2 linked regions of the Daphnia pulex genome follow. The protein of the gene in region 1 purifies or fractionates together with the protein of each later gene. This does not show direct contact. Links are inferred from orthologs where the notes say so. Each region holds a gene or a part of one and is shown on either strand. Other genes may lie near its edges. The genes, in order: transforming growth factor-beta receptor-associated protein 1-like and vacuolar protein sorting-associated protein 33A-like.

Evidence for each region.
Region 2: the proteins of transforming growth factor-beta receptor-associated protein 1-like (region 1) and vacuolar protein sorting-associated protein 33A-like purify together in Homo sapiens (co-immunoprecipitation; 5 studies listed by BioGRID and IntAct, with this or other methods). This does not show direct contact. The link is inferred for Daphnia pulex from reciprocal best matches to the Homo sapiens genes TGFBRAP1 and VPS33A.

The regions. Positions count from the first base shown.
Region 1 is NC_060020.1:7,293,079-7,297,365, reverse strand, and holds the start of transforming growth factor-beta receptor-associated protein 1-like, read left to right. Parts: upstream 1-1,405; 5' UTR 1,406-1,461; coding exon 1,462-1,539; intron 1,540-1,621; coding exon 1,622-1,674; intron 1,675-1,750; coding exon 1,751-2,258; intron 2,259-2,318; coding exon 2,319-2,479; intron 2,480-2,545; coding exon 2,546-2,879; intron 2,880-2,950; coding exon 2,951-3,073; intron 3,074-3,140; coding exon 3,141-3,406; intron 3,407-3,467; coding exon 3,468-3,912; intron 3,913-3,966; coding exon 3,967-4,221; intron 4,222-4,277; coding exon 4,278-4,287. Other genes in the region: group XIIA secretory phospholipase A2-like, read right to left, coding at 44-147, 211-475, 551-618, 696-924. UniProt on the Homo sapiens protein: Plays a role in the TGF-beta/activin signaling pathway. It associates with inactive heteromeric TGF-beta and activin receptor complexes, mainly through the type II receptor, and is released upon activation of signaling.
Region 2 is NC_060022.1:3,591,142-3,595,423, reverse strand, and holds the start of vacuolar protein sorting-associated protein 33A-like, read left to right. Parts: upstream 1-1,328; 5' UTR 1,329-1,650; coding exon 1,651-1,710; intron 1,711-1,765; coding exon 1,766-1,804; intron 1,805-1,863; coding exon 1,864-2,057; intron 2,058-2,118; coding exon 2,119-2,206; intron 2,207-2,269; coding exon 2,270-2,374; intron 2,375-2,441; coding exon 2,442-2,736; intron 2,737-2,808; coding exon 2,809-2,935; intron 2,936-2,997; coding exon 2,998-3,158; intron 3,159-3,245; coding exon 3,246-3,400; intron 3,401-3,466; coding exon 3,467-3,851; intron 3,852-3,911; coding exon 3,912-4,034; intron 4,035-4,110; coding exon 4,111-4,208; 3' UTR 4,209-4,282. Other genes in the region: retinol dehydrogenase 13-like, read left to right, coding at 530-648, 754-843, 1,018-1,122.

The sequences.
Region 1 (4,287 bases):
GAAAGACATCATTAAAATTACGAAATCATTTGTGTTTGTGTTTTCAACCGGGGACGCAGACGCAAGCTTGTGATTGAGCCTTTAAGTAAGCACTAAATCCCCAACCATGGACGGATTGATAAAGAACTTCAACAGATGCTTCGCACTCTAAGAAAAAATATTTTATACTGTTAGGAGACGAAATAAATATTTGGTAAAGTAATAACTCACTTTTCTCCCGATCATCGATTAAAGGCTGCTCGCAGTTCTCATTCCAGAATTTATTAGTAAGTACGATGCGAAATGGGCAAATCAAGTACCGCTGCCAGCTTTTAAATGAACAAATTTTTATCAAACAGTTTTTAAATTCTTTATCGCATTGGCCTCGGTGCACGTCAGCTTCCATTGACGAAATGATGTGGCATTTATCGTAACACATATCGTGAGTGTTGCAGCATAGCTCTTGGTCTTTATATGGCAAACATTCAACGTCTATCTACATTATATAAAGAAAAAAATAGCGGAAAATAGATAAAAGAAAATTCTGGGCTGATTTTATTTGTATCGTTACTTTGAGTCCATCAGCTCCACAGCCATTACTAGTCGGGAAATGACTTTGGTTTGGCGCTGCTATAAATCCTGCAAGAATGTAGGTATACATTTAATTATTGATTTATTAGTAAACTGCAAGGGGGTCAGAATATTGTATACTTAACCAGGTGGGCAATCAAACTTCAATTCAGAACTGGAAGGCTGTGACAAAAGATTGATTGAGGATTCCCAGATCTTTGGGTGATAAGCGCAAAAATCTACAAGAGTACTGAAAGTAGCACCAATAATTCCAGTAGACATCATTTTGAAGATAATCCATCTAAGTATTCCGGTCCACCAACCATCCAGGAAAAATAAAGTTACTAGTATGATGGCTACATGTGAATTCTTCATCGTACATCGTCCGATATGGGACGATAACTCTGAGAGAATTCCAGACAATTTGCAGGTTACACAACTACAGTCCGGTATTTTATTTCACTAAGAAGTAAACGGTGCACTCCGCCCGCCCCTTCGAACCTTCCCTATATATTGATAGAAGGGATTTGCAATTGCAACACGCGATACATATATTGATATCTCGATACGATACCTTTTATATTACGTTGAATTACGAAATAAATTTGTTTTTTAAGTTATAATCGCGGCCATTGGTCATAAATATAAACAAATTGGATACTACGAAAATATAGCGTAGTTTGAATGCCCACGTAATTTCAAATCGAAATCGGATTTGATTTTCCTTATTGAATCGATAAACTTTCTATATCGATTAGTGGGGTTTGTTTTGACGTAAGATTTTTTTTTAGTTTTTATTGGATTTGTGTCCATTTGTGTACACGATATTTAACTAAAGAGTACATATAATTAGTAACACAACGCTTCAGCTGCTACCATTTGTTTGATCTCATTAATTTGAGCAATCTTAAAATGAGTGCACAGGCATTTGACATCATATTTGCTGGTAATTTACCCAATCTCTTCATTGATGGATCTCCTTCTACAAATGTAAGTCTTTGTATCTAAAATATTCTTGTTGTATGTATAAATATGATTTTTCAAAGACATTAATGAATAAAATGTCATTTAGATAACCTGCCTGGAAATATGTGGCGATTTCTTATATCTAGGGTGCAAAGAAGGGTAAATTTGCTATACTGTTGGCTTCCCTTTTTTATACCATTGAATGTAATAAAAATTTCGAATTATTGTATCACAGAAACTTACTGAGGTGTAGCTTCAAGAAATCTTCAATCTTACCTGAACAAACAGTAATTATCAACAAAGCCACTCACTGCTACTCAACTACCAGTCCTATAGTACAGATGAAAGCCATATCAGCCTTGACACAGCTGCTTGTGCTTTCTAATGAAACCTTGACTGTGCTTGATTTGGAAACTTTAGCTCTAGTCAGAACATTAAAGTTCAAATCCATCACTTCTTTCCATCTTAATGAGAATCCACTCAATGAAGATCCATTCACAGTGGAGATTTGTGCTGGGTCCAAGAAAAAAATATTGTATATTCACCTTAGTGATGAGCATGTTAAAATAATTAAAGAAGTCTCAACTAGCTTAACACCTTCAACACTGGTGATGGATGGAGCTCACATTTGTTTTGCTATGGGCTTTGAATATTGCATGCTGGATATTCTTTCTGGAGAGATTCAACAGCTATTTGCTGTAGACAACCCACAGCAACCACTCATCATTCACAGAGTCTCAAAGGTGTTTAAATTTAAATGTTGCAAAATATTGCACCTGTTTTAACTTTTCTCCTAATTATAGGGAGAATTTTTATTGAGTGGACCTGGTGGATTAGGAGTATTTGTGTTGTCACAAGGTTTTTCAGATAAACCTCCAATAAATTTTTCCAGTCAAGTCTCAGCTTTAGCCTTTCATCACCCATACATAATTGCAGTGTGTAGACAAGGAATCTGTTTTTACAGGTATTTGAAGAAAAAAAAAAATTCAATCTGATTTGATAATTTTATTTGTAAATTTCATAATTACAGCATTATTGATCAGCAATGCAAACAAACGATAGCTATTGACAATGTTCGGTCTATAGTAAATGGTGATGGTCGAATCTTTGCCTCGACACTGATTGACTTGTTTGCTCTACTTCCTATTTCTTGGGAGACGCAATTAGAGAAATTACTTGCTGACAATCGCATAGAAGAGGCCCTCGTATTAGCTGCTAATGCCCATATCTCTTCTAACGATAGAGAACAGCATAAACTCATGATTAAGGATCTTGAAGAAAAAGTGGCTTTGCTACGATTTTCTTCTGGACGCTTTTTGGATGCAATGGAATTGTTTGAAACATGCAACATTGATCCTCGAAAGGTCTGTTTGTTTTTTACATTTGTGTACAATGTACATGCATAGCATATTAAATAACTTGTGCAACTATTTAGGTGATTGACTTGGACCTTGAACAAATGTTCCCAGAAGAAGAAATGCGCAACAGTTCTTTAGTGGTTTTCCTCGATTTTCTTCAGCGATGGAGACTCAAGTGCTTGACGCCAGATCAGAGGATGGTATGCTAGTTGTGTTTCCGTAGTTTTTCGTGTCATCGCATCTAAATTTGATGTAAAAATTTTTTAGGCAGTCGATTTGGCACTTCTCAAGTATTTAGCAAGGAATGACGACGAAGGAGTGCAGTTGATGGATTTCATCGTAGACTGCCAAGCCGACTCAAGTGAAACATGCGACTGCTTGAAAACTTTTCAAAGGTTCCATTGCTTAGCGACCTACTATATTTCTAAACAAAAATGGGAGGAAGCCTTTTGCATTTGGGATCGATTGATGAAGTCGGACATTGAAGACGTGCATTTTTTAGGATACCCTCATGTGGCCGAGCAGCTGACTAAGTATGAATTCTTTAAAGTTGTTTGTAAATCATTTTCATAAGTTTTTGCGATTTCTACTTAGGTGTGGAGACATCTCACTGATTTGGCGCTTTAGTGGAGAAATCTTAAAGAGGGATGAAGAGATGGGCGCTAAAATATTTACTTCAGAAAAGATACCAGCCGTTAAGCCGCGAGCTGTAATAGATTATTTACGCAACTATCCCAAAAGTTTAAGAATTTTCCTCGAATTCTTGATCGAGAAGAAAATCGACGAGGAGTCGGTTCACACTCAACTAGCTATGATGTATATAGATGACATCAAACGCTCCGATCTGAACCGCAATAGCCCAGGCCATCGAATGACAATTAACAAACTACGAAGTCTTCTTAGAACTTCTCAAAAACTTGAACTAGTTAAACTGTTGGAAATACTTGATACGCCTGGCTTTCCACATGAGCACGCAATCGTTTGTGGAAGACTTGGTCAACATTCCACTGCTATTAATACCTTTATCAACTATCTTAAGGTAGTTAACCTCTTAATATAAAGCAAATAATGTAATTTAATCAATCTTTATCAGGATTTTGATGCTGCTGAGGAATATTGTGCATGTCTAGATGATCCAAAAGCTTGGAATGCCCTGTTGGCTGCCTGTGTGACTGAAGCGAACGTTCATATGTTTGACCGTGTGGCAGATTTATTGCGTCGCCGGCCACATCAGTTTGACGTTCCAACAGCCCTGCTCTGTCTTCCTGATAGCACAAAATTCAATGTAATCGCCCCGTTCGTCAACTTCGCGGTTCGTGAAGCATTACACGAAAAGAGGATGAAGACGGTATTACTGTAGTCAAATAGGGTGTTAATCCATATAATTTTTTTTGTTATTTCTAGATCGAGAAGG
Region 2 (4,282 bases), on another chromosome or scaffold:
ATCAACTTTTTACCAGATACTTTTATTCCAAGTTGTGCCAAGTTCTCTGTACTCGACATCTCGCACCTCTCGTTATCAAATCCGGTATAATAATTAAAGTACAAGTAAATTTAAATGATCAACAATGAAGCAACCTTGTTGTTTGATAGTTCAAGCTAATTTTGATATTTTTAATCACCTCAATTTTAAATTCAATTGTTGCATACGATAAGGTGTAACCGTCAACTGTTTGCATCCTGGTGCTGTCAAAACTGAAATCTTTCGCAACGCTCCAACATGTAACATCATTTTTTATATGTTGTTGTATTCTGATTCAGCCAAATATTACTCGAGTAATTTAATTAGGGTTCCAGATGGTAGCCGCGGTCTGCATTCCACTTTTCTTTAAGGTTTTTTATTTTTTTTTCTTTTTCTGCTGCATTTTAAAAAATCTCATTCCACTGTTTAATTAGTTGTGAATACTTCATTTTCATCAAGCATACATACACTAGAAATTAAATGTATATTAACTTATTATTTTTTCTTATAGGTAAAAACATTACTGTCAATGCTCTTCATCCGGGTGTCGTTCAAACTGAATTTGGTCGTTTCCTTCCTTATGAGACTTTAGTGAAAATTGCATCACATGTGTCTTCTATTTTCTCAAAGGTTTAAGACGAGAAAACTGAGAATTCAATTTTGTTTCCTCATTCATTACTGAGATTGATTTACATATCCGTTGAACGTTATAACTGTCTACCTTCTATATTTCAGTCGGCCAAAGAAGGTGCGCAGACAAGTATTCACTTGGCTGTGGCTGACGAAGTCGCCAACGTTACAGGAGAATATTTCAGCGATTGTAAGGTAAAATATTAACTTAAAACAAAAAACATTTATTAATAATATAGATGCCTGCAAATCAAAGCTGATGCATACAACGATAATCTAAAAGTTGATAAAGATGTACCGGAAATAATATTTGCAATGCAAGTTTTAAATATTTTTCGAATTAAAAATACAATTTTTTTAAAATCACAGATTGCTAAAACGTCCAAGTTGGCAAAAGACCTCGAATTAGCCAAGAAGCTGTGGGAGGTCAGTGAAACTTTTGTCAAGTTGAAGCCAGAAGAGCGCCATTTTTAAAACACCATTAAAACAAGGTGATTGTTTTTGTGGACGTCCAATAAAATAGGAGTTCAATGATTATGAATTTATTTAATGTACTTTATGATAAGCGAAATGACTAATGAGAGGAAAGTGTAATATGTGTTTCCATAATCCGTGTTTTGCTTTTGCCGCTTTTGCCAACTGTCCAGGATAGCCGTTTCGGAAAATGGCAACACTGTATGGTTCCTATCTCAGCTGTTCAGTGTTTACAACTGTAAGCTGTCAGTTGTGCTGATACTTGTCAGTGGTCACTGTTTCTCAGCTTGGGTCTATTTACTAGTTGACTATATACTTTAAAGCAACTATCAATACCAATCATTTACGAAATAATCGAAATATTTCCTCATCAGAAACAAAGAAACAAAAGCTCGGAAACCCTTCGCTTAAGAAATCTAGAATCTGGACAGTTAATAGCGACGTACTTAGACGTATCTTAAAGAATTAAATCTAACAGATCGAATCTGTTTACCAATTTATAAGTCAAATTTTATTAACAAAGCAGCCATGGCTCATTTATCAGCTGGCAAAGTCAACTTTAGTATGCTGAGAGAGTTGGCAAGAAAGGTACAATTTTATACAGTAAAAATAAATTTTGTCAACAGTTTTGTTATTTTTACAGGATATTGTTTCTCTTTTAGAGAAGTTCAGTGGAACAAAGGTATTTTGGTGTGTGCTATTCCATTTAAGAAATTTACGTAAATTCATCAATTATGCTAGGCGATATTTTGGGATGAACAACTCACTGGCCCCATTGGTTTGGTGGCAGAATACAGTTTTCTTAAGGAACTAGATGTTGTAAAAATGTTCCAGTTAAAACCTGGGCGTTTGCCTTCCATATCTGTTAAAAATATACTGTTCATCACAAGACCTGAAGTTGAGCTGATGGATTGTATTGCAGATAACTTGCACAGGTATGAATAATCTACATATTTTAACTTTAAATAGACAACAATTAGTTAATTTACATTTCAGCGAAGAAAGCCAAGGACATTCTGCTAGTAAGGAATATCAGTTAATTTTTGTCTCCCGACGAAGTGCAGTATGTGAGCAACGGCTCAAGGTTGGTTAAAGTTACTTAAATCAGCGAAGAAGAAATTGTTGACAAAATTATTACTTCATTTAGGACAAAGGAGTGTATGGAACTCTTACTTCTATTGATGAACTGCCTGTTGATTTTTTCCCACTGGATAGTGATGTCATTTCAATGGAACTCGATAATGTTTTCAAGGTATTTATTTATGAGCCAAACTTTGAAAGGGATTGCTTGTCATTGATTTCTTCAAATTTCTTCCCAGGATCTATATGTTGATAATGAAATCAGCTCCTTACACCAAATTGCTCATGGGTTAATGTCCCTCCAAAGTTTATATGGCATTTTCCCCAACGTTGTGGGTAAGGGACGCCATGCCCGTAACGTATTCGAATTGATGACTCGAATGCGACGTGATATTGGGGTAGACTGTGATCCCCCCATGTCTCCGTTGTTCGACACTCTCATGATCATTGATAGGACTGTAGATTTGATAACTCCTGTTGTCACTCAGTTGACCTATGAGGGTCTTATCGACGAATTCTATGGAATAAAACATAGTAAGAAAGTATTGTTAGCTTCTGTGTAAAACAATTATTTTACTTGCATTTTGTGGTTTCATTGTTATTTAGATACAGTCAAGCTTCCAGGAGAAAAGTTTCAAGCCTCTTCACCTGCGGGCCAGTCACCTCGCTCTGATGATAGCTCTGTTAAATCTGTTGTTCTAAACTCGGCCGAAGAGCTTTACGCTGATTTGAGGTGAAATTTTGAATCAGACAAATTTTGCTTCCGACAGTTTTAAAGTTATTTATTTTGCACAGGGACAAGAACTTTTCAGCCGTGGGTACTGCACTCAGTCGCAAAGCTAAAGCTATTTCAGCTCAGTATGAAGAACGACACGAAGCAAAAACTGTCAGCGAGTTGAAGCAGTTTGTAGCAAAACTACCGCAGATGCAAGCCACCAAACAGTCTTTAGCACTACGTAAATACTTTGTCGTATTTTTTCCTGGCCATTATTTAAGCTGTATTACGCATTATTTAAGCTGTATTACGCATAATTTTTTTACAGATACATCTGTCGCTGAATTGATTAAAGAAATAACTATTTCAGAAGCATTCCAAGAGGCCCTTCAAGTGGAGCAAGACCTTTTGAATGGAATTGATACTGACAAAGTTTGTCCATACATTGAAGATTTCATTTGTAAGCAGGAACCATTGACTAAGGTAACTGAAGTGGCAGTTGGATACATTTTGCCATTTCCCTTTATTTTACATTTATAATTATCACAGATTCTTCGCTTGATTTGTCTGCAATCTGCTGCCAATAGTGGCCTGAAGCCGCGCGTCTTAGAACACTACAAAAGAGAAATTATTCACGCTTACGGATTCCAGCACATGATTACGCTTCACAATCTTGAAGCTTGTGGTCTCCTTCGATTGCAGCAAAGTAATCGTCCTTTTACTGTTATACGGAGAGCGCTGAATCTTACGGTAGATGACGTCAATGAAATCACACCTACTGACATCTCCTATGTACATTCTATTTACGCGCCACTAAGTGTACGATTGATTCAATGGGCAGCTAAGCCCGGATGGAAGCAGATTTCCGATGTGCTTAATTTGATTCCAGGACATTTGGTTCAAGAAACTCAACCAATTTCCATTGATTTAAGAAGTTTGTTTCCGTTTCTTAGTTTTTATGAGACCTTATAATCACACTTCGACTGTATTTTAGGAAATTCTAGAAATAGTGTCCATAGTTCGATTGAAGAAACCAAGGTCACATTAGTATTCTTCCTCGGTGGATGTACCTACGCAGAGATTTCTGCTCTTAGATTTCTATCTAAAAGGGATGATGGTAAGTAATTAGCGTTCAACATATTTTGCAAATAACAACTTAAACAATAACTTTTTTTTTCCTTAAAATTTTTTAGCACCTACAGATTATCTGATTGCCACGACAAATATAATAAATGGTGAGAGTTTCCTTACTAGTTTATCTGAAACTTTAAATGGTAACTCTCTAGTCTAAGTCTAATGTTATATATTTACCCCATAATTCTACATCTAAATGAAAAGAGTGTTGCATACATTTTTGCTGTGTAT